Diceros bicornis minor: one gene and its partners. The main gene of each other region encodes a partner of the protein of the gene in region 3 in a complex. Links are inferred from orthologs where the notes say so. Each region holds a gene or a part of one and is shown on either strand. Other genes may lie near its edges. The genes, in order: phospholipase A and acyltransferase 3, RGL2, KRAS and MAPKAP1.

Region 1 (6,875 bases), on a different chromosome or scaffold from region 3:
AGGCACCAATAAAACAGTTGTTTATGATGAGAGCTCTCTAAAAATTTTTCCAACTTAAGGATCCATTGTTTGGCCATTTACTCTCTGGAGGTTAAAGAATATTGTGGCCATGTGGTGTTACAAAAGAAAATCATCCCTTTTTAGACATTGGCTCATAACTATGATCAGACCATCTACTCAGAATCAGCCCCAATGGGCTCCACTTGGGGACAGACAGCATGTTCCCCATTCTGTTACACAGAGATGGACAGACATACAGATCCAGACACAGAAAAACCAGACACCAGTGAACCAGCTCCCAGATTTAGGGTACAACTGTTCCCACTCCAAATGCGTGCCCAGATAGCCCCTCCACAAATGGAAGTGGCCCCAGATGGCCCTGCCTTAAATGGAAAGACCCCAGATGGAGGGGAAAAGAGTTCACAGGCATCCCTGAGGCAACTTACCCTATTCCAGATTGAGTCTGTGGACTCACCAGAAGCAAACACAAACAAATCTAGAGCCTGTTTCTTTGCTACAAGAAAATGTGTGTAGGGCCAGCAGTTCTGGGTCAGAAGGAAACTACGGGGGACAGTCCCTAGGGCAAATCACCTAGGCAGCTGATAGACTGCTTCCCAGGAAATCCCAGTTGGCCAGGGCCACGGAGCCACGGGCCAAGAGCCCCCTGGCTGGCTTGCCAAATTGTTACTGGACACAAACACAGGTTCTTTATCTGCCACACAAGAGGGGCCAAATAAAAATTGGAACACCAGGCTTATGGCAAGCAAAGGGTTTTTATTTCAGGTGACATTAGCCAGGAGATGAGAGTCAGCCCTCAAATTTATCTCATCTCCCTGAAAGATGGGAGGAAAGGGGTTTCAAAGGTTGTGAGGAATGTGGCTGCTTGTAGGGAGGGGGAGCCTGTGGCCTTGCTGGTTGGTGCTTTCCCACCAGCCTGTGTTTGGCCTTATGAGGCTGCTTGCAGGGAGGGGGTGGTGAGATAAGAGAATCGCAGGTGGGTGTCTTTGGTTGCCTGCCTCTGTGGTGGAGGGTGGATTCTGGCACCAGTAAGCTGAGGAGTTGGGGTCTGGGAAGCTTCAGCTTCCTGATATTCTCTGGATATCAGTTTCCCTGTAATAAAACTTCCAAGGACCCGTAACTAGCCAAGATGTTAGCATGAGGCCACCTGGGCTCTAACAATCTGTAACTTCTATTTGCCTTGGGAAGTTCAGGGATAGAAAGGTTTAAAAAACCAATATTTACATAGGACTATAACTTAGAGAAGCAAGCAAAGGGAGTGAGTGCTTTTGATTTTAACCCCATATATGCTGGGTTTAATGTAGTGGACCCATATCAGGGCCAGTATCAGGAACTTTTCAGGGCCTCGCAACAGGGATTTGTTCTCAGCTTCTGTAGGACTTGAGGAGTTTCACAGATAGGGGATTCAGGAAGAAGTTGTACTTCCCCTTCCTTTTCTTTCATAAAAGCCTGATTTTTCTGGTCAGAGCAAACTGTCAAAATTGGCGCAATCACAAAGCCTCACCAGAGTAGCTGGGACACATGTAAAAGGCCTGTATTCACTTGGCTAATGGAGCCTCAGGACCTTTCTCCTGAGGACTACTCCTGTCTTTTGCTTTTTTTTTTTTGGTGAGAAAGATTAGCCCTGAGCTAACATCTGATGCTAACCCTCCTCTTCTTGCTGAGGAAGATTGGCCCTGGGCCAACATCTGTGCCATCTTCCTCTACTTTATACGTGGGATGCCTGGGCCGGCCCAGTGTTGAAGTGGTTAAGTGCACGTGCTCTGCTTCGGTGGCCTGGGATTTGCAGGTTCAAATCCTGGGCACGCACCAATGCACCGCTCGTCAAGCCATGCTGTGGCAGCGTCCCATATAAAATAGAGGAAGATGGGCATAGATGTTAGCCCAGGGCCAATCTTCCTCAGCAAAAAGAGGAGGTTGGCATCAGATGTTAGCTCAGGGCTGATCGTCCTCACAAAAAATAAATAAATTAAAAAAATAAATGAAAAATAAATATATGTGGGATGCCCGCCACAGCATGGTTTGATAAGCAGTGCATAGGTCCATGCCCAGGACCCAAACCTGTGAACCATTGGCCACTGAAGTGGAGCACGTGAACTTAACCACTACACCACCAGGCTGGCCCCTACTCTTCCTGTTTTTAGAGTTGCTGTTAAGCAACAGAAACCCTCATGTTATCACGGAATGCTGCTACGGATTCTGCTCCTTAAATGCGGTTTGCCTGTCCTCTCTCTCTCCTCCCCTCTCCCCTCTCCTCCTGCCCTGGCCTTCTCCTCCCACCCCACCCGCTCAGAACCCCCACAGGGTCTCCCACTTCACAGCATTTAGCCTTGTGCCATTTCCTCGCACCTTCTCAGTTACCCCTTCCTCAGAGACAGCAAAACAGTGGATTCTCCTGGAGGAGAATTCATCCTCCTCAGAAGGCAGAGAATGGAAGACTTAAAATAATTAAAAATAAATGTTTCTCCCCTATCACAAGAAGAAGAAGAACGGGGCTCCGTGACTGTGATTGCAGAAAAGACCAGAGGCTTTGGAGGCAGGTATTGGTTTGATCCTGGCAGGGCTGTCCCCCTGTCCCGTGTGATGGACTTGGAATGGGGCTTAGGGGTGATCTTGCTGACGATGGTGCCGGCATCATCTGCTGGCAGCTTCTCAGTCCTGGGGCCTTTCGTACAGAGCTCCTCTTTTGAGAGCTGTGTGAAAGGTAAAAATCACTTTCTTGATATCCCCGCCCCTCAGGATGTTTTTTGTTTTTCCTGGCACAGCAATAGGAAAAACAAGTAAAGGAGGTGACATCTGGGCCATTCTGGAAGCAGAGAGTAAGGAGAAGCAGAAGTCAGTCTGGTTTCCTCAAAACCGAACTTCTCCATCCTGGATTTGGACCACTTTACAGAGAGTTGCTTGCTCAATACATATGACAATTTCTTGGGTGAGTGGTAATGCACAGAGCGTTCTGGTATTTATCTAAATTGCCTCTGACTCTCCTTGTCGGGAAGCTGGTGAATAATGTGTGATGTTGACGATCGTGTACCTTTCCTCGTGTAAATAATAGCCAATGTGTCCTGCGGATTTACCATGTGCCGGACATCAAGCTCAGCATTTTTATAAGCATCATTTCATTTGTTGCTCTCCCTTTGAGGAATGTACTTTTATATATTATCTTATACATTGTACAAGATCATCATCACTCCATTTTACAGATGAACAGACTGAGGCTCAGAGAGGGAAGGATGCCCTGGACCCCATAGCTGGCAAGTGACAGGGCCAGGATTTGGCGCAAGCATCCTGATCCCAAGGCTCAGTGCTGGCTGGGAGTGGCGGGAATATAGAGATGAACCGGAGCTGGTTCTCCTCTTGTGGAGCCACAACCAGTGCAGAGGAAGGCCCTGTGTTTGGTCATTCATTCATTCATGGAATGCCTACTGTATGCGAGGTTTGAAGGATATCTGATGGCTTAAGACCCAATAGGTAAAAATACTCTCTGCTAGACCCTTGCCTTCAAATGGCTTTAAAATTTATTATAGTTTTGAACTATAAGCCCACTCGAGTGGAGGAGATAAGTAAATTGATTGCACTCCAGTGTGATGTGTGTACAGAGAACAGTATAATACTACACGTTCTTAAATATTGGGGGGCCCGCAGAGCGCGTGTAGAAGAGGTGAGGAGGTGGCCCTGGAGCTGGATCCAGTGTGTCGGGGAGAGGGGGGCAGAGGAGGACGTGGGGAGAGGCGGTCGGGGTGAGAGGGAGGCATCCTGGCTTGTCCAGCCCAGAGGCCGGAGCCCGCTGTCCCTGTGCCGGGGGCAGGGAGCTCTGCGTGGCTCTCATTAGCCAGTCACACAGGGAGGGGCCCGGTGACCTCACGCCGGTCTGGCCTCTGCGGCCATTAAACTCGTTCTCTTTGCAGTGGCGGCCGCGCTGCCTCCAAGTCCGAGAGGTGGGTGGACAGGTTCTTCCTGGGACTTAAGAAAGGGTGGGATGCTTGGGGCGGCTCTCCGGGTCCCAAGGGCTGTGTGGGAGAGGGAGAAGTTGGGTGAGGCGGGAGTAAACAAGTTGGGGAGCAGCCTGCAAGCAGCTGCCGCCTCCTGGCACCGCGGACCGGGGAGGGAGGGCCGGGCGCGGCGCCCTGGCCGACTTTTTGGGGCGCGGCGCCCTGGGCAGGCGACACCGATCGCGCTCCCTGCAGCTGGGCCGCCAAGCCTCTCAGTATCGGGTGACCCTCCCCTGCCCCCTTCAGGGGATGCGTGGGTTCTGGGCCAAGTGCAGGGCAGGGAGGCGGCGGGCGGGGAACTCCGAGGGAGTAGGCGGTTGTGCCTGAATCCGGTGGCAGACGCACAGCGCACGGTCTCCCCACCAGAAACCCCCGTCCCCTGGGGTCTCGGGGACGCTGTTTCCTGTTTACGACGTAGAGAATCTCCTGCTCTCCCTGCCTCAGGCACTTACACTGCTGAGAAAGCGAACTCCAGCCTGAAACTGAGAGTCCACGTCACGAAAGAAGATGCGCGCGCCCATCGTAAGTGTGGGGCGGGCGTGGGCTGGGGCTGGGGGTCGTGTTTTAGTGGGGACTCGCTGTCCCGGGCCTGAGTTGTCACTTCAGGGAGACGATGCTTGAGGAGGTGGGGCCACACCTCCGCAGCCGCTGGGCAGCAGGAGTGGGTGTGGGTCAGCGGGCACCTGTTGGAGTCGTCTCGGTGCCTGAACTTGCGAGGGCAGGTGTGGAGGCCGCCCTGCTGAAACCGGCCTCCGGGAAGGCAGGCCCTGCGGGACCTACATGGAGAGGGAGGCAGAAGGGACGACTTGCTCCGCAAAGGCCCTGTGCTGCCGTCCTGAGTCCGGCCAGAACGCCTGGACTGGCCGCTGGGGCTGAGTGGGGCAGGAGCTGCTACCCCAGGCCTCGCCTGGGTCTGACCGCAGGGGCCTTTTCTGGTCTGAGCTGACCGCACCTCATGACCAGCCCTGCCAGCAATTTCCAAGCTCTCACGTTTTCGTTTTCTAACCTGTGATGTGGTTCGGAAATCATAAAGGGCCTTGGCAGGCGGCAGAGAGGTTCAGAGCGCCAGCTTGTGAGGTAGACCCCCGGGGATTGTGTTCCCGCTGAGCACTTAGCTGCGTCTCTTGGATCAAGTTTCAAAACCCCTCTGTTCCGGGGAGTGAAGATTATATGACTGAATACTTACGAAGTGCTCAGAACAGTGCTTCACACACTTATTGAGTGCTCAACTGTAATTCACTATTATTATTATTATTTCAATCCTGGTAAAGAGCTTCACACCGCACCTGGCATCAGAGTGTACCTGGTTTATTTGATGCCTGGAGCTGTCGTTTTTAAATCTCTCTCTCTTTCATCTGACATTATTTCCAGTCACAATCATGAAATAAATAGTAATAATGCCCAGAAAAGAAACCTAGTGAAAATTTCCTTTTATTGAGCTTTGTATATGAAGTCATGTCAGTGAAAAAATAAAAAATGAAAAATCAATAAAGTTAGAGAGAAAAATAGAAAAAAGTAATGGATTAATGGTTTTTAATTGCATTCACGTATTTTTGAAAACAACTTATTCTTACATATAGGGTGATCACAGTAATGAATGATAATAACATTACAGTTTCTGTTTTGGAACTTTAACTTCTGAAAAGTTGACCATGACTTTGTCAAAACTGATCTTCTTTGCATGTTCATGTTCAATATTCAGTGAAGCTAGATTTGTCAATTCATCTTTGCTCACAGTTGATTGAAGAACCCTTTTTATTAATTTTAATTTCAAAAGCTTCTCTTCATATGAACCAACACATATCCAAATAGGAAAAGCCTTAAACATTAGGATAAGTTTGTCAGAGATTCGTAAAAATCCCATTTCATAATAAATTTCAGACATTGCAATAATGCCTGTCTTTTTTTTTTCCTAAATCAATTCTAGTGGCTTCTAAATATCTCCACATTTGAAACATTTTCACTAAAACATCTTCCCCAGAAAATTCATCATAAATTTTTATCTTTGGCAAAATTCTCCCGAGATTTTCTTCTTCTGCAAAAGTCAGAGAAAACGGCTGAACAACGGTAAACATTGACATTTATTTAAACCATTGCTTTAGAATGAGAGTCTGGCTCTTGGTGAAAATGATTCAGGCTTTCAAACACTTCTTTTTAGTTTCTTCTGGCACTGGGAGAGCAGACTCTTTTTTCCCTCTTTTTAAAATTTTTAAATTAAAAACCCTTGTGTTGAGGCTGACTTGCAATAGATCGCAGCAAGGGAGCTGCTCTGCTACCCATGAAATTCCAACCCAGAAGCAGGTGGTCTACGAATGGTTTAGAGAGAGCAGGCTCTTTGTCTTCTGTTTAAACACAGGAAAATGTAGAACCACAGGGGTTGGTGACACAAACTGTGCAGAAAGTTCAAACCATTCTGAGCGATTCGGAACTCGCTGTGGGAACAGACATGTGTAGCTGAGCCTATGTGTCAGCAGCTGACTGCATAACTGGGTGTTCTCTGATTGAACTGCCATGGAGAAGACAAAGTTTTTTAAAGAATAAGAAATAAAAATGTGCTAATTTGAGGCTCACATATATATTATTAAATCTCAGCAGTAATTGCCACAAGGAGAACTTAAAACAATACAATAGCTTTAGGGGGAGTAGTATTTTATCACTATTATTTAAAATTGTTGGCAGATGGTGGTAATACACAGCAGACTGACTTTTGTTGTGTCGTATTGTTTTAAAATTCTCTGCGGACAACCCATTTCTATTTGTCTGCACCCGGGGAATACGGCTTCCACCTCCCGGCACTGGGTGTGCCACTGCCTGGCTCTTAGGGCTTGACCAGTGTTCCTGGTTAAATCTGCTCCCTGGACCTCCCTG
Region 2 (7,320 bases), on a different chromosome or scaffold from region 3:
ACCTCTAGACTTCTCTGCTCAGTCTCAGCCACACTGGGCCCCACCCAGTCCCAGAGCAAAGGGGATTTGTAGGAAGGGCTGGGAGATGGTGAGTATCAGAAAAGGAGGTGTCCTCTGAGGGGTGGGGAGTTGAGTCCTCCCTATAACTCCATTTCTCTCTTTTTTCTCCTTCTTTCTCTCCCTCATGCCCCTCCCACTCCCTCGTCTCCCCATTTTCCCCAGCTGTGCTGACTGTCCTCACCCACACCCCCACCCCTCGAATCCGACTGGGACAAGATGCTCTGCTGGACTTGAGCTTTGCCTACCTGCCCCCCACCCTCGAGGCCGCTACATCTCTGTCCCCAGGTCCCCCTCCCTTTGGGCTGGAGTGGCGACGCCAGCACCTGGGTAAGGGTCACCTGGTCCTGGCTGCAACTCCTGGGCTAGGTGGGCAAATGCCAGCTGCCGAAGAGGGGGCAGTGGCATTTGCTGCTTGGGATGATGATGAGCCGTGGGGTCCATGGACTGGAAACGGGACCCTCTGGCTGCCTGCAGTGCGGCCCTTCCAGGAGGGCACCTATCTGGCCACCGTACACCTGCCATACCTGCAAGGGCAGGTCACCCTGGAGCTTGCTGTACAGAGTGAGTAAGGGGACAGGGGTCCCCACGGGTAGAGGGTAGGCACTGGGATTATGGGGACATCATGATAGGAGGAGGGATGGTGGAGAAGAGAGTGGGGGGTGAGTGGGGGGAGATAGATTGGGGTCCCTAAGAGTCAGAGGGGCAATGGGTAGAGGGTCCCTGAGAATCTGAGGGGCTTTGGGATGAAGGTTTCCAAATCTGAGGGAATAGGGGTCCCTGAGAATGGGGGGTTTGGCATGGGGATTCCTGTGAAGCACCAGTGGGAAGACAGTAGGTTCCCCATCCTGGAAGAAAAAACCCAAACCCCCCTCAGTTTTGGGGAAGCCAGAGGGCAAAGTGAGGGTCTCTGAGAAAGGACAATGTGGATTGAGTCCCCCCATGCTCCTTTCCTACTCTCTCCAGAGCCCCCCAAAGTGTCCCTGATGCCAGCACCTCTTGTATGGGCTGCCCCCGGAGAGGTTCCCCCAGAGTTGCTCTGCCTGGTGTCCCACTTCTACCCCTCGGAAGGCCTGGAGGTGGAATGGGAGCTCCGGGGAGGCCCAGAGGGCGGTATTCAGAAGGCCAGGGGAGAGAAGTGGCTTTCTGCCCTGCGCCACCACTCAGACGGCTCTGTCAGCCTCTCCGGACACCTGCAGCCACCCCCGGTCACCACCGAGCAGCATGGGGCACGCTACGCTTGCCGCGTCCACCACCCCAGCCTGCCCGCCTTGGGGCGCAGTGCTGAGGTTACCCTGGAGGTGGCAGGTAAGAGCCAGGAGGATAGAGAAGCCAGGGGCGGGCTCCCGGGAAGATACTACGGGACTCACTCTGGCCCCTTCGCCTGCCAGGTCTCTCCGGGCCCTCCCTGGAGGATGGCATAGGCCTCTTCTTGTCTGCCTTTCTCCTCCTGGGCCTCATCAAGGCACTGTGCTGGGCTGGTGAGTGTGAGCCCCACCCCGAACGGGACCGCGACTGGCGGACACTCCCTGCCTACTCCCAGAAGCCTGACACCCATCCCTCTGCCCTGCCACTCCCCCATCCCATCCCTTCTCAATCTCTCTCCACAGCTGCCTATTGGTCCACTTCCAAGGAGTCAAAGGAGAAGGTAACAGCACTCCACCGCCCCTTCCATTTCCCCTCTCATTTGATCCCCTTCCCCCATGGAGGGAGGCCGCTGGTGTGGTGGGCAGAGCGCGGACTTGGAATTCACACAGACCTGGGTTAAATCCTGCCACTACCATTCTAACTGTAGGACCCCTTGAACGTATTACGTAACCAACACCTCAGTTTCCTTGGGGGTGGGGATAAAAAAAATTACTTAGGCAGTGCTGTCCAATAGAAATATAATGCAAGCCACATATGTGAATTTAAATAATCTAAAAAGGTAAAAAGAAACAGGTAAAATTTATTTTAATACACTTTATTCCATCTAATATATCCAACATATTATCATTTCAACATGTAATCAATATAAGAAATTCATAGTCTTTTTTTCCATCTGAAGTCTTCAAAACCAGGTGTTTATTTTAAACTGTCAGCACACCTCAATTCAGACCAGCCACATTTCAAATGCTCAACAGACACACATGAGTGATGGCTACTGTATTGGACAGTGGAGCCCAGGAGGGCTGTTGGAAGGGTTAAAGGAGACTTTGGAAGATGCAGGAGCAGAAGCACTCACTGCACAGTGTCTGCCAGGCAGAAAACACACGGAAAATGTGAGCCCCATTCTTCTGCCACCCTCTGTGCCCATGATGGTTCATTTATCTCTGGATTGACCATAAGCACTTCACCCTGCATTCTAAAACCCTGAATTCCTCACCTCTTTTTTACTTCTCTTCCAGAAAGCACAGTGAGGGCCCTCACCATCATCCAGCAGAAGCCACCATCATCTCTGGTCTGAGCTACTATAGTAGCTCCCCCAAATACTACACCATCATCTGCTCCTGCTCCCTCCAATCTCTCTCCACTGAGTGGCTGGAATCCTTTTTTAAAAGACACAAATCTATAGCATGCACCTTCTTAGAGCTCTAGGGCAGTGGTTCTCAAAATTTTTAGTCTCAGGACCTCTTAAAAATTATCAAGAACTCTAAAGAGCATTTGCTCATGTGGGTTATAACTATAGATATTCAGCGTACTAGAACTTCAAACTGAGAAAAATTAAAACAAGAATACACAAGCACAAATTTCATTAGCTGTGAGAGCGATGTCAAAACACATGAGCTTCTGGAAAACTCTCCTGTACATTTTTTAGAGAATGAGAGTGAAGGGGCAAATAACATCTCAGTATTGTTACGAAAATAGTCTTAACCTCACATGTCCCGTGAAATAGGGACCTCCGAGACAGGAACCACACTTGGAGAACCCGTGTTCTAGAGGTCAAATCCATTCTTCTTGCCCTGGCCTCCGGGCCGAGCCACTGCTTACAGCTTCAACTCCACCTGATGCCCTCCAGCCTTCTCAATGCTCATCACACCGACGGCTATGCCTTTCCTCCAGTGGCCTCCCGCCCTCACGGGGCCCCAGCGCCCTGTTCCCTCTGCCTGGTCCACCCTCGCCCTCCCTGGGCTCCAGATCAGGTCAGCCTCGTCGTTCCCCTCAGACTGCCCCGTGTCCCTCTTGTGCGGCTCACCACGGTTGTATTTAAGTGATTGTGCCAGTCACTGTTAAATGCCTGTCTCCCCTCCCGGACTGTCGGCTCCTCGAAGCCCAGCACCATCCTGTCTCTTCCGCTGCTGTGAGCCCTGCGCCGCTCAGGGCCTGGCGCCCACTGGAGGGGGCTCAATTTAAGTTATCGTCTTTTGCGTCTCGTCCTAAGTCTTCAATAAGAAGTGTTGGATCAAATAACTATCGGACGAAGGAAGCGGCAGTTCGGCTTAGGGTCCTCCGAGGGGCCGGACGGTCGCCCAGGGCAACGCGGGGAGCGGGTCTAATCGTGTGGGAATAAAGTTGTGCTCCAGTGCTTCTAATGTGTCTCATTCTATCCCGGGTTCCCCTGTCCAAGCGCAACGGCTCTTCCAGTCACCTCTGGTCCCTTCCAATTACCCCAACCTCTCAAACGCCTTGGCGACACCCAATCCCCCTTCGAAAAAGTTTGGGGTCGGGGGCCACCAATGGCGGACAGCACGCCCTCAATCAGCGGGCTCTCGGGGCGGGAGCGCGACCTCAGGAGAGCGCAGATCCCAGCCTGCAGCCGGAAACCCGGAGCCCAGACTCTGGAACCGGATGCGGCGGCTTCCTGCTCCGCCCCCTTACGGGACGGCGGCCGCCGAGGGCTCTTCGGAAAACCCGGAGTGGATTTCCGTTTGCTGCACGCGTGGGTGGGGGCGGGGAGTGTAACCCCGGGGGTGGAGGAACTGGGTCTTTCTCCGCCTGAAACGCTTCGCGCGGGAGTTTTAGCCTCGTTGTTGTGTGGGGGGAGAGGACTGTCAAACTGCTGCTGCCCTCCCCCGGGGGCTGGAGACTGGAATCTTTATCCCAATTCAATGTGGGGCGACGTGGGCTCCAGGATCACCGAATCGAGGGGGCCCGAGCACAGCGGAGCTGGCGGCCCGGGCTCCTGGGTCCCGGCCCCTGGACGTCCAGCGCTCCCCTAGTCCGCGGCCCTGGCTCCTGTCCTCACTTCCTTCCCTTTTTGGCTCCTGCTCTCGGAGCGGGCGGACGTGGGGGGGAGCGGAAAGGGCGGGAGGGCCCGGGAGCTTGGCGGGGGGGTGCAAGGGGTTGCGGAAAAGCCGCGGAGGGGACTTGGTCCCGGGACTCGGTCGGGGGCCGGAGACCGACGGCAACAGCGGCCCGGGACCCGCACTGCCCCCACCCCTCCCGAGCAGGTCAGAGCCAGAACACCCTACGACCCTGCCCGTTCCCGTACTCGTGACCCCCCTCATCCCCAAAATACACCAGGGCCCCCTATATTCCACCCCTTTGTGGCCCTCCCCCCCGCCCCATTCTCCCTGCAGGACTCCTATCCGGTTACCTAGACACCCACCCGCGTCCCTCCCCTCCCACCTCCCCCGCGCCCACCTGACTCTCCACCTGCCCCCCCTCCTGTCTCTCCCCAGGCGCCCCCATGGCCCGACCCCGCTGATTCCTTCGCTCGGCCATGCTCCCGCGGCCCCTGCGGCTGCTTTGGGACACGAGCCCCCCCGGGGGAGTCGTGCTGAGCAGCTTCCGGAGCCGAGATCCCGAAGAGGGTGGGGGCCCAGGTGGCCGGGGCGTGGGCGGGGGGCAGGAGGAAGAGGAGGAGGAGGAAGAAGACGAGGTGAGATGTGGGTGGTGGGAGGCAGGGGGTCTATATTTCAGAGACTCGCCACCTTTCTCTCCGCGTTTGAAATGTCCCTGCATTTCTTCCTCTCTGTCTCAGTTATTTCCGCACCTCTTGCTGGGTGTCTGCCCGTCTCCCCGCTGCGGGAAGTCCCGGCGTTTCTGTGGTTCTCTGTGGCAGTGTGACTCAGGAGCTGCCCGCAGGAACCTGCCCTGTTACTGCCTGGAGCGTCTGGCGGGCTGTCCTGCGGGTCTCTGGCTCTCTCCGCCTGTACCTGAGTGTGCTTACCTCTCTGGGCATTGTGTCTCGGTCCCTGTCTCCCCTTGTTTTTGTTTGGCGGGGAGGGGTTTGTTTCCACAGTAACCGGCTCCTCTGACTCTGGGATTGGGGAGGGAACCCTTCGATTTCGTGACCCCTCCCCCCTTTCCCGCCTGGCGCTGGGTGGAGGCGGGAAGCCAAGGTTCGTGGACCTTGGAGGGACAATCGGAGGTTGAGTGGGGGGTGGTCACCTGCTTTCCTCCGGGACTAATGGTGCGGGCCGGGCGCAGGATTTGGGCCCTCAGGAGGGGCCAGAAGTTGGATTTGGGGCCCCGAGGCCCTGGACTCCTGGGTCCAGAGGCTGGGTGAGGTCAGGGTGACTGGCAGGGCTGGTTTTTCGGGATCGGCTGGGGGAGGGGCTGAGGCCATGTGACTCTCTGAGTCTACCCCCCCACATCATCCCCACTTCCCCTTCTCCTTCCTGTACTGGGATCGGAGCCGCCACCTTGAGGGGGTCTCCGGGGCCGAGGGACCAGGGGGAAGGGGGCTGAGGGGAAGGACTCACTCTTTGGGCTTGGCCAGTTCCTGCGGGGGAGGGCGGAGCATGCGGCTGTGCCGGTGACTGAGGTTTCAGCTTCTCAAGGTCTCTGCCTCTGGCTTTCTGCCTCGCTCGCTTCCCTCTCCTCCCCTTTGCACCTTGCTTTTCTGCTGTGTTAGTTCAGCTCTGGGGGGAAGGGGCTTCGGCAATCTCCGGGATCAGGGTTCCTGCATTCCATCCACCCCCCCACTGCAACCCCCTCGACTCCACCGGGCCCTGAGGCGGCTTGGGGGGGGCTGTCTGGGCCCCAGTGGGGGAGACCTGGGGTCACCAGCCCCCCCCACCCCTCGCACTCGCTGGTACTGTCCCCCGCCGCCACAGGTGAGGGGTACAGAGGGAGGAGTAGGGCCTGGGGGTGAGGGCTGGGAACAGTGGGGGGTGGTGTGGGACTGTCTGACTTCTCGTTTCTTGCTCCTCCAGGCCCCTGTGTCTATCTGGGATGAGGAGGAGGATGGTGCCATCTTTACTGTCACAAGCCGCCAGTATGGGTCTCTTGATCCCTTGGTGAGATCATAACTTTGGCTTCTCACCTCTGACCCATCACTTCCCAGCTCCCCTTCCTCTAGCCGGCTTTCTGGCCAGAGTGCTAGGTTGGAGGTCTGGAGACCTAGACTCTGCTGTGTAACTTATATCAAGTGTTTTTGCCTCTCTGAATCTTAATATAATGAGCCTGGATCATCTCCTAGGTCTGGGATTTTCCCCAGAGATCTACGGGCAGAGTTGAAGAAAGGGTCAGTGACTGGTCCCCTGTCTCCCCAGGCCCCAATGCCTCCCCCGCGTTCCTCCCGAAGGCTCCGAGCTGGCACTCTGGAGGCCCTCGTCAGACACCTGCTGGATGCCCGGACATCAGGGGCTGACGTGACCTTCATGTCAGCCTTCCTGGCCACCCACCGGGCCTTCACCTCCACATCTGCCCTGCTAGGGCTTATGGCTGACAGGTCAGGGTCATAAGGACCAAGGGTCATGGATGTGTCTGGATTTTCTAAAGCCAGCGTATCCTACCAAAATAGTCAAAGCCACTGGGGGTTTGGAAAAAATGGACAGATAGAATCTCTTCCCCTCCCCAGGCTGGAGGCCCTTGAATCTAGTCCTAGTGATGAACTAGAGAGGACAAAAGGGTGAGTGACCCCCGATTCCTAACCTCACAGCCCCTCTGCCCGAGCTGCTGCTTGATGGCTGACCCCCGGCTGATTCTCCTCCCAGGGTAGCCATCTCTGTACTGTCAACCTGGCTGGCCTCTCACCCTGAGGATTTTGGCTCTGAGGTCAAGGGTCAGCTTGACCGGCTTGAGAGCTTCTTGCTTCGGACAGGGTATGCAGCAGCGGAGGGTGTTGGGGGGGGCAGCGCTGACCTCATCCGCAACCTCCGGTCCCGGGTGGCCCCCCAGGCCCCCGACCTTCCTAAGCCCCTGGCTCTCCCCGGCGATCCCCCTGCTGACCCCACGGATGTCCTGGTGTTCCTCGCTGACCACTTGGCCGAACAGCTGACCCTGCTAGATGCGGTGAGACCCTGACCTCTGACCCCCACACCCCTTCCCCCTTACTAACCTTCCCCTGACTCCAGATCCTTTCCTTGCTTCCAACCCTTCCCCATCCAGCTCCCA
Region 3 (7,664 bases):
AATAAATACTGATAACTTGTAAGATTAACAGCACAAGACAGAAAATATTTTTTAATCAGTTGTTTCAAACTTTTTGAAATAAAATGAATAAATTTAATTTTATCTTCTTTCCCTCAACAACTACATGACAGTATTACAAATAAGAAGTGAAATGCAGAAAGAATGGCAATAAATGCACACTCATTTATTATAGAATAAGTAGTTCCAAATTAATGAATGTGCAGATATTGTATATAAACACTATATGCATGCAGCATCCTATTTACTGAAGACCAAGAATTATCCAAATAGGCACCAAAAAAAAAAAAAAGATAATATCGTTTTCCAAATGATAACATACTAACCACCGCCTCACCCTATTCCTGAGCCCTCTCACAAAGAGCAGACAGGCTACACAACTGTTGTATCACAGACCGTTACATTACAGCTCCCTGGCCTATTCTGCACCACCCAGCCTTACTCGCTGCTCATCTGGGGCCACCCTAGGAGCCACTACTAACATCTATCTTATCCCATTTGCTCTCACTTTTTATTCTAAATATAGGCCATAGCAAATGGGATAGACGAGGAGAATCACACCAAAATGTATCCTCTAGCTCCCTGCCCACCTCACCCCGCAAAATAATTTGGATAGCATAGAACAGTAGTTCTCAAAATGTGGTCCAAGAACCCAATGGGGCTCCTAAGACGTTTTGGAGGTCCAAGAATTTCATAATACTATTAAGATGTTTTACCCTTTCCACTCTTATGCTGTCACAAGTATAGAGTTTTCCAGACGTGTGATCACAATAGATTGAATGCAGAAGCTGATATGAGAATCCAGATGTTTTCTATTAAGCCATATAATTAAAGAGATTTGCAAAAGTGTGAAACAATGGCACTCTTCTCACTGTTTTATTGTTTTGAAAAATAGTTGTTTTTGCATTAAAAAAATGCTATTTATGTTACTAAGTAATAGGCCTATTATTTCTATTTTTAAATGAATTAATAAATTTCTTAAATTCTCAGTTTTAATTTCTATTATGGTAAATACTGGCATACCCCATATTGGGATCTTCAATAAATTTTAAGAGTGTAAAGGGGTCCTGATGACCAAAAAGTTTGCTAGCCTAGGTGATACTGTGGACAGATGCTGGATTAGAGCTTAGTTGTGCATACATGTGTGAATTCTGAAAGACAGACACCTTCTTGGTCTACTTGTTTATGCAGTGGTTGTTTCAGAAAAAAATCCTTGAATTGGATTTTAAACACCAAGTAATATTTAAATCCGCTAGAGAGAACCGGCTTCCCAAGGAGTCTTACTGAAGATCATAGGCCAGAAAGAGTCCCCTCACCCAAAGATACAAAAGCAAGGGGTGGAACTGGGACCAGAACCTAACATTTTGTTAAGCAAAAAAAAAATTCACTTTTATTTGTCATGAAACTGAATTATCACCTCATCTACCATCTCTTAAAACCAAGTATGCCTGTGCCTGGCTGCAGTCTCAAAGTAAACAGTATTGATATCAACCGTATTTGATGTCTATAGTCTATTACATGTTCGAGTCAGCATTTTAGACCTTAGTCACCTAAGAGTGACATCACTCATTTAGCTGCTTCTGAGATGATGATTACAACACAGACTTTTCCCCTTTGTAATTTCTTTGCAAATGACTTTTTTTCCATTACAAATGTAACAGGTACGTTGTGTAAAAATCAGAAAATACCTTTCTGTTCTTAGCCTCTTATTTTGATGGATATCAAGATATAAAAAGGCTAGCGCAGGGCTTCAGCTATGGTATGCACACGCCTCAGAGTATTTCAGGCAGTTGGCCGGCAAATTGCTACAATTAACTCCTCTCCTAAATCAGTTTAAAAAAATTGTGTGAGTGCTGTTTAGGAGTACTGTAATAACTCTTGGGATGGGGGTCAGATGCGTAAGGATGAGGGGAATATAGAAGAGATGGGGGAAAGGACAAGAACAGGCAAATTAAACTTCAAATACGATTTTAGTTATTGCCGTCTACACTCACCTAGCAAGGAAAAAGCCCTGCTTCTGCTCTGAGGGTTTTCTACGTGTGTTTTAACTTGACAAAGCAAAAGAGACCTTCTACGATTAACTTTTTCCTTTTCACTAAGTCACAGGCTTTACGTTGTAGGGTGTTGGCCACCTGTTCTTCCACCACCATCTCTACCTCCACCTCCTCCTTTGTGGCCACAGCAATGTCACAGCCCATACATGGGGGAGGGGAGCAGTCAGGAACTCGGCTGCAGATGCATTTTTTCCAAACACAATAACCTCAAACAGTGGTCTCTAAGCACTTTCCCATGCTCTGCCAAAACCTGACCTCCCCTCTTACCCCTATACCCCGCTACACAGTGAGGACCACTATCCGTCCGGCCTGCGCTCGAGGGAGAAGTTTATACCTTCGTCCTAGAGATGCTAGATGCAGCCGAGAAGGCAGTGACCGAGGCAGCCGAGCGCTGGGAAGGGAGGAAGAGGTGCGGGAGCGGAGGGAGGGAGAGGGGAGGACGACGAGGGGGAGGGGAGACTGGAGCGCAAGCGGGAGTAACCTCCACCGCACCCGACCGCCCCGAGGGGCAGCCCGCCCGGCCCGCGAGTTGCTCCCCGGCCGCCTCCAGCCGCGGCTCTCGGGGAGGAGGAAGGAAGGGGTTCCCCGTCCAGGAAGCAGCACAAGCGGCGGCCGCCTCTAGCCTCACCCTCCTCAGCCCCGCAACGCCCATTCCTCATTCCCCGCGTCGCCGCGGCCCCGCGCCTCCCCCTGCAGACCCCCCGAGCCTGTCTGCCCGTCCGCCCGGGCTCCGCGCCCGCGCCCGCGCCCCCTCCCCGCCCCTCCAGGGAACCCTAATTCATTCACTCGCCGCCGGCCCCGCCCGGCGCCGGCGGGGAGGGTCGGGACCGGGGCAGGGGCCCAGGAGGGGTGGTCCGCTCCGTACCTCTCTCCCGCACCTGGGAGCCGCCGAGCCTCTGGCCCCCGCCGCCGCCTTCAGTGCCTGCGCCGCGCTCGCTCCCAGTCTGAAATGGCGGGGGCCGGGAGTACTGGCCGAGCAGCCGCCACCGCCGCCGCCGCCACCGCCGCCGCCGCCGCCACCGCTCTGCCTCCGCCGCCGCGGCCGCCGCCTAGGGAAATCGAGCTCCGAGCACACCGATGGGTTCGGGGCCGGGCGGCCGCAGAGGGCAGAGCTATTGATGCGCTCGGTGCTCGATTCCTCTCCAGACGGGCGATCGGGGAGGGAGCGGCTGAGGGCGGTGTGGGAAGAGGGAAGAGAGAGAGCCGGCGAGCGCCGCTGGGGAGGAGGAGGGGCCGGGCCGGGCCAGGGGAGGGGGGCGGGCCGGGCCGGCGGAGGAGGAGCGGGGGCCGGGCCGGCGGAGGGAGGGGGTGGCTGGGGCGGCGGACGACGGGGAGCCCGGCCGGCGGAGCAGGGGGCCTGGGCGGTGCCTCGGCGGCGCGGGAGGAGGGGCTGCCGACCCCACGCGGCGGCCCGCCCCCAGGCTCCCGCCGCAGAGCCGAACCCGCAGCCGCAGATTCGGACCCGGGCCGGCGCGCGATCGGTCGCGCGCACACCGCAGGGACACCTGAGCGACGCCAGAGGCGACCCCGCCGCACCCCTCTCGGGTCTGCACGCGGAAGCTGCGAAAATCCCGCCACCCCTCGGGGTCGGCCTACACTTGTGCACATTCATTTACTGTCATTTGCTGCCAGTAAATAAACACGCAGTCATGAAATGTGGGAGGCGACTTCGGTGACTGGGAGAGACCGGCAGACAGTTCCCCACCCCGGGGCTTTCTCATCAAGGCTTGGTGATTATCAGCCTCAACACTGGGGTTGGGAACCTAGCCCCAGGCCCAAACCGACGTGACTAACCCTTTCATCACTCGTCTTATTTGTTGTTGTTTTTATGGCTATTTTGAAGCCATCACAGGTCACTCTAAAGAGCGACCTCAAATGTACCTATTGCCCCTGACGGCACAAGCAGAAGACAAACTATTTTTAAGTAGAAGTGCCTTTGATAGTTTAGACCTGAGGGGAATCATTGACACATTAATTAGAAGACTGAGATTAATCAGTTCACATTTGGGGAGTTAACACATTAAACAATGAAACAGTTACAACTGCTGGCATACCCAGAGTCTGCGCTGATAAACTACCTAGAAAGGTAAATTGAGTTTTAAAGATTGAGGCCTGGCAGGCCAACGCCTATACCTAATGGAAACACCCATCTGAATCTCTACTTCCAATTGTGTCCCTCTAGTCCATGTCATAAAACATGGGTTAAACAATTATTTTAAATCCCAACGACTGTGTCTGTTAACTTAAGCCTTACACCAACTGTCAGCCTTTTTTTCGCACCCCCTATGTGGGCTGTAGTCTGGAAGGCTTATTGGGTCCCCCTCGCCTTGCTCCTGGTACTAGGTGGAACAGACAGGACAGGAAGTAGAAGACAGGGATGGGAAAAGAATATGCCTACTCTTTGTCAAGTAGTTGCTAAATGTTTCGCGCATACATCTTATTTAATCATCACAGCAACCTTATTTTATAGATGAGGAAACAAAATCAGAGAGGTTGAAAATTGAGCTCCAGCAGCCCTATGGCTTAGCGGTTAAGTGCGCACGCTCCGCTACTGGCGGCCCTGGTACGGATCCCCGGCGTGCACCGCCACACCACTTCTCTGGCTGTGCTGTTGTGGCCGGGTCCCACATACAGCAACTAGAAGAAGGATGTGCAACTATGACATACAACTATCTACTGGGATATGGGGGAAAAAACAAAGGAGGAGGATTGGCAAGAGATGTTAGCTCAGAGCCAGTCTTCCTGAGCAAAAAGAGGAGGATTAGCATGGAAGTTAGCTCAGGGCTGATCTTCATCACAAAAAAAAAAAAAAGAAAAGAAAATTGGGCTCAAGTTCACACCGCTAAAATGAAGTATCTTTTAGGTCAGACCATGTTCACTCCTCTGCTCCAAACTCACTCATGCTCCCATCCTGCTTAACATCAAAGCAAAGTCCCCTTACCTCTCTGAACTCATCCTACGCGTCTCCCTTCCTCACTTCTGTACATACACACCGGTTCCTGGCTGTTCCTTGAAAATGCCAGGCAGGCTTCTTCCTTCCTCGGGGCATTTGCACTTGCTGCCCCTCTATCTGGAACACATGTCCACTATATATCCATAACGCTTCCTCCAACACTTATAAATCTTTGTTAAGGTGTCTTCTTCTAATGAGTTCTTCCCAAAAGATCATCTTTGATATTGCATCTCTCTCTCTTTCCCCCAAATCCTAAATATTTGGGGAATGTTGAATAAATGAAGTTGTGTACCCTCCTTCTGAACTCTGTGACTCCACATCCTTACTTAGACGGAGTGCCTTAAATTCTCTGTGATCTCTGTTTTCACCTTCTTATAAAATCTGCCTTTAAACACCCCCAGGTCACCTTCTGATAAACTGTACCCTACGGACTCTAGAAAAGTGTCCACACATAATGGACACAGTGGGTTTTTCTTAAATGAATGAATTTGCACTTATTTGTATGTTGTTTTGTAGTCACTCAAATATATATCACAGATTTATTTTGTCCAACTTCTGCAAGTACATGATAAGCTCTTGTTTTCTCTGACAGCTGCTGATACAATATTCTCCCTGTAGTTGGGGCTCCATAAATCTTACAAGGACTATAATATAGAGAAGTGCTATTATAATATATAGCACTTTCATGGTGATTATAAAAATTCTGGCGTTAGGAGAAACCTAATCCATCCACATGGTCTCTGTTATCATCTGGGCTCACAATTCCCAAAGCAAGTCTTCATCCCCCTATCTGTTCCGTACACCTTACCCTCCAGCTTCCCCTCACACAGTTCTCTCTGCTTCCTTGTCACTCCGACAGCAATGTATATATTTGCTATGTGGAGCTTTTCTGCCATTCAGTCCTGAGCGCTTTCTCAGAAGCCAGCAGCCTCCTCCCCAACACTCTCTGTGTTTCCTTGACACATGGCTTAGAGCAGTGATCTCAAAGGAAAGCGCTTCATGAATCACCTGGCATACTTACAAAAATGCAAGTTCCTAGGCCCCTCACCCTTATATTCCATTCAGTTGGTCTAAAGCAAACCAGAAATCTTCATTTTTAACAAATCAGGTGATCCTAGACTGGTGGTTAGCAGTCTGTATACAGAGAAGTGATCTGATCTAGATGTGATACTCAGATTCCTCTCTTTTCTTGACAGCTGTGCTTTCTTCTATCTTTTGGGTTCCTCTTCTTCAAACCTAGAGGCTGCATTGAATAGTTTCCCTGGCTCTCCCTTTCTTTGCTCTCCCCAAGGACAAGCACACAGGCTCATTCTGTGATCGTGATGGGAAAAGATAGAGGGAATAACAAAAAGCTTAAACTTGGTAATTCCAGGCTTGCTCTACAATGTAACTGAAGTTTCTACCCTCTACTGTTAACTTTTCTGGGAAGGCAGCCACATACACATGTGCACGTGCTCACATCCTTTTAATCCTGCTTTGTGAAGATCATATTGACCCTTCAGGAGATACCCTCTTCTGAAGATGTAATCAAAGCCAAAATAACAGGAATACCCTTGTGTTAGTAGGGATCTTACAAGATGTAAAATGCCAGGACATGTTCAGAGCACTGCAAATGCTGAGGGTTTATTTTAAGGAAATAAGGAAACTTTAGCAAACTGTATCATCAGCCAGGACTACTAGTCATTCCAGGAATCAACAGCAGTTCTTGTGATCCAGTAACAGGCTCTGGTGCCTCACTCATCCTCTCGTTAACGAGCATGTACTGCCCACATTCTAGTAATTTTGCCATTCTCCTGAATCAGTAGCTCTCTGATTCTTTCTCATACAGTCTCAGCTTCTACCACTATCTCTGCTTCCCATGACACTCTCTGTGACTTACATTTAAAACATCCCAAGGGAGAGGATCTGAATGCATCTGTCATTCACTATCCAATAAGAAGGGTCTTTATGGGACACAATTTTCCTGACGGGCCACGTGATTGGTGACTGGCCTTCTTTATGCCTGACTTAAAGACCATTGCCTTAGTTTGGGTGCTAATCCTGGATGCCAATCTGTGGCCAGAGTAGCAGAACACAGAGCAGGAAAAGTTAAGCAGGAGGAGCCCTATGGATGCTTTCATGGACTCTATATCGGTTTTCTTTTCTTTTTTTTTTTTTGAGGAAGATCAGCCCTGAGCTAACATCCATGCCAATCTTCCTCTTTTTGCTGAGGAAGACTGGCCCTGAGCTAACATCTGTTGCCATTCCTCCTCCTCTTTTTTTTTTTCCCCCTTTTTCTCCCCAAAGCCCCAGTAGATAGTTGTATGTCACAGCTGCACAGCCTTCTAGTTGCTATATGTGGGATGCCGCCTCAGCATGGCCGGACAAGCCGTGTGTCGGTGCGCGCCCGGGATCCAAACCCAGTCCGCCAGTAGCGGAGCGCGTGCACTGAACTGCTAAGCCCCTATATCGATTTTCTCAGGGGGGAAATTTGTACCACTGAATAGGTGCTATTTAATTCATTTACCCAGCACATAATTTCCTATGGACATTTATTTCATTAGACTTTATATTCTTTTTTTGCATATCTGTTTTCCCCACTAGGTTAATTCCAAAGTCCCTGCCTCATTCAATACTATATCCCTTGGATCTTAGCACAT
Region 4 (7,653 bases), on a different chromosome or scaffold from region 3:
GTCACTGCTCAAGGGTTAGCTCCTCTCAGACGCCTCTCCAGAGGGTCCCCATCCACAGTACACAGCAGAAACAACACGGTGTAGTAATGAAGAGTGGAGATGCCAAAGTCTAGCAGATAATCCCCTCCACTGACAGCTCCAATACCTGCAAGGAATTTATTTAACCGCTCTGTGCTCCAGTGCCCTCATCTGTAAAATCAGGATGCTAATAACACCTTCCTGTACAGGAATAAATGAGATAATGCATTTAACATGATGCTGGCACACAGTAAGTGCTCATTAACCACCATTATCAGTGTTCCCTCCTTCGTGCTCCATGGTACCCCATGGGGACTGCTATCTTAGTACCTACAGTACTTCACTACCGTTCATCTGCACACAAATTCGTCTCCCCCACTGGAATGTCAACAACCTCAGGGTGGGGACCTTGTTTTCTTCCTCTTTGCATCCCAAGGGTCTAACATTTGCCCTGGGACTGCTGAATGAATCACAGATCCTCAAAGTGTTTATTAACTGGAAAAGTTATGAGCAGAAACTAGAATTTGCCCCTCTTGCCTGACACTCAAGCCCTCACTGACTCTGACCCCTAGTGACCCTCCAACTTCACCTCCTGGTGTCCCCACTAAAAGAAGCAATGGTTTGCTGGATTCAGGCTGTCTACTCACCACTCTAATGCCATGCCACGGGCCTCACACCTTCACATCTTACAGCTATCACTTCAGTGGGCCTTGCCATGTATCAGGCCCTGTATCTACATTAGCTCATTAAATATTCACAACACTCCATGAGATCAATATTATCCTCCTACCCCAATCCATACTTGAGGAAAATAATGCTTAGAATTAAGAACCTTGCCAAAGGTCACATATCTCGTAAGAGAAGGGACCAGGAATTGAATCCAGAGTCCATACTTCTCTACAGAATGTCTTTCTCACTCATATTCAAAGTTGAGCTGACCCACCTACCACCTTCTTGCCTTGGAAGTTCACAGTCTTCTCTACATTTAAAAGACTATCTGTACCATTTATTTTGACATTCATGTTTTTTCTCTTGTCTAGTTGTTTCAATACGTACTTGCACATAGAGAGCTATGGTGTGAGAAAGAAGGCAAAACACATAATGGAAAAAGCACAGATGTAGGCATCAGACAGACCTGGGTTTGACTCCAGGCTCTGCCTCATACCAGACATGTAATTTATCCTGAGTCTTCCTAATCTGGAAATTGAGGTTAAAATGATTGAAGAAGAGAAATCTATGTATAATATCCAGTACATAGTAAATAATAAAGCTTAGTTAACCACACGTTATGAAGCATTACCTGGCCACAGCATACTCCTCAAAAGTTAATGAGCCACGCCCTTTCTGGGCTACCACTGTATCACAGACAGAACTCACACTGTACTTATCACTCTGTGTTGGAATTATTTCCTTAACTAAATTGAGCTCCCTGCAGGAAATAATTGCAGATGTAATAATGAGTGTTTACAGGATTTGAGAAAAGAAATCATTTCCAGCTGGGGCTGTCCTGAATTGGCTGAGGGAGGCCAGTTTCAACTGGGCCCCAGGTAACATCTCAGTAGGTGGAAATCGAAAAGCAGAAACTTTCTAGGCAGAGAGAATGTCCTACAAAAAACAATGGACAAAACAAAGAACAAAAGTGATTTGAGGTCCTACTTATCCAGAGTAAAGGATAAGAGTAGGGTAATTAAGGAAAGAGGCCTTTTCACGTGTAGCTGTAAAGTTAGCCAGGAGCCAGATCAGGAGGTGCAGAGGAGTGTGAGTGCAATCTCATATCACAGTAGCTGAAGGAAGGTATGAGTACAAAGCTGAATGGCAAAGGGGCCACTAGCATGCCTCACAGGCTCCAGCAAGCTTGCCAGTGCGTATATCGAAAAGATGAAAACAATTATCAGTGCTCCATCAAGAACTCTCAGCCTTTACGGAGCACCTTGTGTGGGCTCATAGACTATGAAGAATAAAACATGGTGCCTCCTTTTCCTGCTCTAGTGGGTTTTTAAATTAGGAATCCACCCCTTCTGTCTGTCAAAATAGAATGAGAATGTTGACTTGAACTGATGTGTATAAACACTTGTCTCCATCTGACTGTTCACACCTGGGGAAATTCCCACCTTTGCTGGTTTTGGTTTATAACATGACGCTTAGCACAGTGCCAGGTACTGACAGGCTTCAAAAATTACTTGCGCTCATTCAGAACGAAATTTTAACTAATTTCTGAGTCAACTTATGGGTCTCCGGTTAAAGTAATACTCTTGTTTAAACTACAATCATTTTTTTTTCCAGCCTTAAACAGATCTAGAAGACTCCTTGCCACTCCCATAAACAAAAGGCTGAACCAAAGTTCCAGCAGCACTCTAGCTAGAAAAACACAGTTCTGCGAGGCCTTCTGGGGGCAATAGGGAGAAGGGGCGCTAGGAAACAGGGACCACACAGGCAATGCTGTAAAAACTTGATTTTCGCGTTATGAAGACTAGGACACCTAGATGCCGAGTGTAGGGCCAGAAACTGCCGGAGCCAACAGTACCCTTCCAACCCCCTCAACACTACCAGGTCCACTAGCTGCTCCTCCCCCAAATCGCACGCCCAGCTGTCAGGCTCACAGCAGCCTCCAGTTCCGGAGAGGGCCAGGAAACGGATGCTCACGGGAGACCTGAGCAAGGGCCGGACAGGCTGCCTGCCGGGCAGCGCCGAGAGCGGAGGGGCGAGGAGGGCCACCAGGCTCCTCGGGTGGGCTGGCGGGAGAGCGAGCGAGGGAGCTGGCGGGGGCAACCTTTACCTGAAGCTGCTGCCACACTACGGGCCGGGTCGGCCCCGGGACACGTTCCCGAGGGGCGGGCCCGGCTCCCTCGCGCCTCCCGGCCCCTGCTCCGAGCTCCGCACTCTCGGAATCCTCGGGGACTGGCACTTCTCCCGGCCGGCTCAGCTGCCGCTTTCCGGGCTCGCCCTCATACCCCTGCTGCTCGCCGCCGCCGCCGCCGCCGGCCGGACAAGCATCAGCCCTATCGCCCCGAGCCGCGCCACGACCCGGAACCGCACCCCCCGCACCGGAAGTCCCCACCGGGAAGGAGCCACTAGCTGGGGACATAGTGCGCAAGCCCCAGAGCCGGGAGCGAGGAGAGAAGCCCTCCCTGGGGGGGCGGGGCCGAACGGGAGGCCGTGCGCATGCGCGCCACTTCCCCGGCCCCGGGTAAATCCTGGGTCAGAGAGTAGCGGCGAGTCAGACAACATCACATCAGTTTCTGGATTTGCGTTAAGTAGAAATCAACGTTAGCATTCCCCTTCGAATCTCCTTCTCCTTTCTCCCCGCTTCCACAGAAAAAAGCCCTCAGTTCATCCAGAAATAAGTGATGAGGCTGCTTAGCCTTTGGGTCAGAAGACCCAGGTTCAAATGCCAACTCTAGCTTGCTGTGTATCCTAGGACAAGACACCTCCCCTCTCTGACCCTCGGGTTTCTCATCCATACAGAGTTCCAATTTTAGAGTATTGCTGTGAGACTCGAATGGGATGATGCTTTAAAAACACGACACAGTACCTGACACGTAATAAACACTTAGTAAATGTTAGTTATTACTCATTATCTGTAAAACGGAGATGATAATTATCTTCCTCAAGAACTGTAGGGAAGTTTCCATGAGATATGAGGACTGGCGGAGAACAGGAGCTCATAGTTTGAGGTCTCTGTATATCTCAGAGAGAATCAGTAGGGGAAGGCACGGTGAAGGATATAGTATCTTTCCTAGCCCAGAGATGGTCCAGAAAGTCTCCCTGAAAAATGCGCCTTAGCGAAAGGAGAAAAAAAAAAGTCAAGGCTGAATTTCAGCCCTTGGAGATCCTTACCCAATATTACAGTTACCAACAAATACACCAGGGATCCACCCCCATGTATTCAAATAGGATAGATCTTAGCTCGTATGGGGGAAAAAAAAATGCACCTTAACACCCAAATGCGCTCCTTCACACACACCACCACAGTTTCATTGGGGGCCTGTTGGGGGCGCTCTGTCAAAGAAAAGGGTGTGAACAACCTTGGATATTCTGTTTTCCGAGGTCACCGGGTTATCTGTCCCCTCCTAAATATTAATCTTCACTTTCACTTCTCTCTTGAGCTCCAGTCTGAAGCACAGCTGCCTGATTGTCCCTCAGACACATAAAACAAACTATCTAAAACTGAAATCAACTCGACATGCTAAGCATTTATGGGTTCTAAGGATTGAATATCCACTCTACCACTGACAAGTTTTATGACCTCATCTCTCCAAGCTGCCTTTTTGAATTTCCTTATCTGTAAAATGGGAATGACGAAAGTCCTAACTGACCTCAGAGTGTTGTTGTGAGGATTGAAGGAGCTAATACATATTATTCACAGAGAATAGAGCCTGGCATGTAGCTAACATGTATATAAAATGCTTACCACTATTGCTACACTTCAGTCAGTACACAGATACTTACTGAGTGCCTATGTATGAAGCCTACCCTAGACGCTGGACAGTTGATGGTGTAGGAGTTTTGCCAGACAGGCGTGATGGGGTCAGGAGTTTAAGATCTCAGCTTTAACAATGAATTTTTTTTTTTTTAGAGTTTTTATTTTATTTATTTATTGTGAGGAAGATCAGCCCTGAGCTAACATCCATGCCAATCCTCCTCTTTTTGCCGAGGAAGACTGGCCCTGAGCTAACAGCCGTGCCCATCTTCCTCCACATTATGTGGGACGCCACCACAGCATGGTCTGACAAGCAGTGCGTGCTCAGGATCTGAACCCGCGCCGCCAGCAGCGGAGCGCATGCACTTAAGCGCTATGCCACAGGGCCGGTCCCGATCTCAGCTTTAAAGAGTGCTTAAAACAAAGGGCCACAGAACGGATACTAGAGAGGTAAGAGAATTCAGGAAAGGCTCATGTCACTGGCCTGAAGGTCCTAGGAGAGGTGTAATGGAAGTCAGTGATGGCGGGAGGCAGGCAGAAAGATGGAGGTTATCCTCAGAGATGGATGTCTTAACGAATAACCTCAGATGAAGAGAGTAGGGTGTGAGAGTGAGGTCCTGGCTGAAGTGGAATGGAGGAGAAAGTTATTGAAGATGAGCCGGTCAAGGAACTGAGATGCCGTGTGGCCTCCAAAGCTCCAGGATGATGGACAGATGTGAAAAGGAAACCAGGGGTGCTTCCCAAGCCATTCTGCAACTGAGGGAGGGAGGTGGATGAGGAGGAGAGAGGATAGGCCAACCGGATGGCTTAGCCTCCAAGCAGTGGGAGCTGTATCAGAGAGTGAATGCAAGTGGCATTAAAAAGCAAAGTATACGTTGATCTCTGGCCTGACCAAGGGGTCCATGGGAGTAAGACCGTGAGAGCTGACACACTCAGAAAAAATTATTTTTACAGCATACCGATGGTGCTGGGCCAGGGGCTGGTCGCGGGACTCCAGTAAACATGAAGGCAGAGAGATCAATACCTCAGCATACCTACGACAACTTGGAAAGGAGGCCATGGTAGGGGATAGACGTTCCTTTTCTTCTGGTCCACAGGACTAGAACATGGGCAACAGACAGAGGTTCAAAGACACGGACTAGCTGTGTGGACTTCGACAAGTTATCTGCCTCCTCTCTACCTCAGTTTCCTCATCTAGGTTGTGAGGATTCAATGAGGTAATGCATGGAGTGCTTAGAACTTTCTCCAGCATACAGGAATTGTTCTATAAATGCCAGCTCTTAGGGCCTGGCACACCAAGATGGGTAGCAAGAATCAGGTCCCTTTATGCATTTGCTTTCCTGAAACACAATTGCTTGAGCAATTCCTGCTCAGGCCTCAATTGCCCTTTCCCTCTCCACTCAGCAAATTCCTACTCTTTTTTTTTTTGCTGAGGAAGATTCGCCCTGAACTAACATCTGTGGCCAATCATCCTCTATTTTGTATGTGGGTCACTGCCACAGCATGGCTGCCAACGTGTGGTATAGGTCCACACTCGGGAACCAAACCCAGGCTGTCGAAGTAGAGCACGCCAAACTTAACCACTATGCCATGGGGCCAGCCCCTCTTTTTTTCTGTGTGAGGAAGATTAGCCCTGAGCTAACATCCAATGCCAATCCTCCTCTTTTTGCTGAGGAAGACTGGCCCTGGGCTAACATCCGTGCCCATCTTCCTGTACTTTATATGGGACGCTGCCACAGCACGGCTTGACAAGCAGTGTGTCGGTGCGCATCCGGGATCTGAACCCGTGAACCCTGGGCCGCCAAAGCAGAGTGCGTGCACTTAACCACTACCCCACTGGGCCGGCCCCCATCTTTTTCTTTTAAGTGGCTTAAAACAACAACCATTTATTATTTCTCAAGATTCTGTGGCTTAATGGGTGGTTCTTCTGCCCCTCTTGCCTGGGCTCGCTCATGTACTTTCAGTCAAATGGCGGCTAGAATGGTTGGAAGGTCTAAATGGCTGGAGATGTTGGCCAAGGCACCTTAGTTTTTCTCCTTGTGGCCTCTCTAGTGGCTATCTTGGGTTTCTACATAACAGTGGCAGTATTCTAAAAGGATAAACCTCAATGTGCTTTTTAAAAAATATTTTTATTACATATATGCCATTTTAACCCCTTCTAAGTATAGTCTATTCATTCTTTTTGGTGAGGAAGATTGGCCCTAAGCTAACATCTGTTGCCAATCTTCCTCTTTTTGCTTGAGGAAGACTGTCCCTGAGCTAACATCTGTGCCAATCTTCCTCTATTTTGTATGTGGGACGCCACCACAGCATGGCTTGATAAGTGGTGCATAGGTCTGTGCCCGGGATCTGAACCCGCGAACCCCTGGGCCGCTGAAGCAGAGCACACAAACTTAACCACTACGCCGCTGGCCCAGCCCTAGTCTATTCATTCTTGAAGACCCAATTCACATACTGCTTCCTCCAGGAAGCTTTCCCAGATCACCTCTCCCTAATAGGCCACATAAGGAGTTTCATTCTCTGTATTCAACATTTATCACATTTTCTGTGGTTCTTCCAATACACATCTGTCTCCCTGACAGGGCATGAGGAAAGGGACATTTATTTCTTTCTATATACTGAAAGTTTATAACACCGTAAACACTTGGTAAAATTTGTGTTAAATGCAAATGTGCTCAAAATGTGCATGTGAAATGAAGCAATTGGAAATCTTATTTTGTATAAGCAGAATTTGCATATGGAAAATACCACTTTGCCAAATGTATGACAACAAGCTGAGAGTAAACATAATAGGATGAAAGTAATGCTTTTTCCAGCCCTCCCAGAGCGGTGGGAAAATGGAAGCACTTTCCAGTTGCTTGCAAATGTGTATTCTTATTTATTTATTTGTGAGGAAGATCGGCCCTGAGCTAACATCCATGCCCATCTTCCTCTACTTTATATGTGGGATGCTTGCCACAGCATGGCTTGATGAGTGGTGCATAGGTCCGTGCTCGGGATCCGAACCCACAAACCCTGGGCCACCGAAGCGTAACGCGCAAACTTAACCACTATGCCACCAGGCCAGCCCACAAATGTGTGTTCTTAGTATCTTATATGTGTGAATATGTTTCTCTGCTATTTTCCCAGTTTTGGTTTCCTCTCCTTTTAAAATATATTTTTTCCTCCCATAGGGAAAACATAGGCGTTTATACTCCTATGGTACAAAGCAATTT

What was found.
Region 1: the proteins of KRAS (region 3) and phospholipase A and acyltransferase 3 are in contact, whole or in part, in a crystal structure (PDB 7C41), measured with the Homo sapiens proteins. The link is inferred for Diceros bicornis minor from reciprocal best matches to the Homo sapiens genes KRAS and PLAAT3. Residues at the interface, in NP_001356715.1 of Homo sapiens: Ala11, Gly13, Lys16, Ser17, Tyr32, Asp33, Pro34, Thr35, Ile36, Thr58, Ala59, Gly60, Gln61, Asn85, Asn86, Lys88, Asp92, Tyr96, Lys117; in NP_001121675.1 of Homo sapiens: Leu65, Tyr66, Asp67, Val68, Ala69, Gly70, Ser71, Asp72, Lys73, Tyr74.
Region 2: the proteins of KRAS (region 3) and RGL2 are in contact, whole or in part, in a crystal structure (PDB 8B69), measured with the Homo sapiens proteins. The link is inferred for Diceros bicornis minor from reciprocal best matches to the Homo sapiens genes KRAS and RGL2. Residues at the interface, in NP_001356715.1 of Homo sapiens: Ile24, Gln25, His27, Val29, Glu31, Asp33, Pro34, Thr35, Ile36, Glu37, Asp38, Ser39, Tyr40, Arg41, Lys42, Tyr64; in NP_004752.1 of Homo sapiens: Ile651, Arg653, Glu660, Asp661, Gly662, Ser663, Val664, Tyr665, Lys666, Ser667, Ile668, Leu669, Lys685, Lys686, Asn688, Arg689.
Region 4: the proteins of KRAS (region 3) and MAPKAP1 are in contact, whole or in part, in a crystal structure (PDB 7LC1), measured with the Homo sapiens proteins. The link is inferred for Diceros bicornis minor from reciprocal best matches to the Homo sapiens genes KRAS and MAPKAP1. Residues at the interface, in NP_001356715.1 of Homo sapiens: Ile21, His27, Val29, Glu31, Asp33, Pro34, Ile36, Glu37, Asp38, Ser39, Tyr40, Arg41, Leu56, Glu62, Glu63, Tyr64, Ser65, Ala66, Met67, Asp69, Gln70; in NP_001006618.1 of Homo sapiens: Phe280, His287, Gly288, Phe289, Ser290, Leu291, Ile292, Gln293, Lys307, Lys310, Arg311, Arg312, Lys313, Gly314, Ser315, Phe363, Glu365, Ile369, Val374, Met377, Leu378, Ser380, His381, Tyr484, Glu487, Ser488.

The regions. Positions count from the first base shown.
Region 1 is NC_080770.1:9,290,189-9,297,063, forward strand, and holds the start of phospholipase A and acyltransferase 3, read left to right. Parts: upstream 1-3,864; 5' UTR 3,865-3,953; intron 3,954-4,451; 5' UTR 4,452-4,514; coding exon 4,515-4,529; intron 4,530-6,875. UniProt on the Homo sapiens protein: Exhibits both phospholipase A1/2 and acyltransferase activities. Shows phospholipase A1 (PLA1) and A2 (PLA2) activity, catalyzing the calcium-independent release of fatty acids from the sn-1 or sn-2 position of glycerophospholipids.
Region 2 is NC_080753.1:31,159,533-31,166,852, forward strand, and holds the start of RGL2 (ral guanine nucleotide dissociation stimulator-like 2), read left to right. Parts: upstream 1-4,320; 5' UTR 4,321-4,427; intron 4,428-4,658; 5' UTR 4,659-4,699; coding exon 4,700-4,858; intron 4,859-4,889; exon of another isoform or gene 4,890-5,389; coding exon of another isoform or gene 5,390-5,484; exon of another isoform or gene 5,485-5,489; intron 5,490-5,497; exon of another isoform or gene 5,498-6,038; intron 6,039-6,137; coding exon 6,138-6,221; intron 6,222-6,476; coding exon 6,477-6,655; intron 6,656-6,784; coding exon 6,785-6,835; intron 6,836-6,920; coding exon 6,921-7,218; intron 7,219-7,320. Other genes in the region: TAPBP (tapasin), read left to right, coding at 223-621, 1,024-1,365, 1,449-1,538, 1,668-1,705, 2,181-2,318, 2,445-2,456. UniProt on the Homo sapiens protein: Probable guanine nucleotide exchange factor. Putative effector of Ras and/or Rap. Associates with the GTP-bound form of Rap 1A and H-Ras in vitro.
Region 3 is NC_080756.1:37,462,143-37,469,806, reverse strand, and holds the start of KRAS (GTPase KRas), read right to left. Parts: upstream 3,011-7,664; 5' UTR 2,951-3,010; exon of another isoform or gene 2,938-2,950; intron 2,523-2,937; exon of another isoform or gene 2,407-2,522; intron 1-2,406. UniProt on the Homo sapiens protein: Ras proteins bind GDP/GTP and possess intrinsic GTPase activity. Plays an important role in the regulation of cell proliferation.
Region 4 is NC_080767.1:33,988,513-33,996,165, forward strand, and holds the start of MAPKAP1 (target of rapamycin complex 2 subunit MAPKAP1), read right to left. Parts: upstream 3,010-7,653; 5' UTR 2,795-3,009; intron 1-2,794. UniProt on the Homo sapiens protein: Component of the mechanistic target of rapamycin complex 2 (mTORC2), which transduces signals from growth factors to pathways involved in proliferation, cytoskeletal organization, lipogenesis and anabolic output.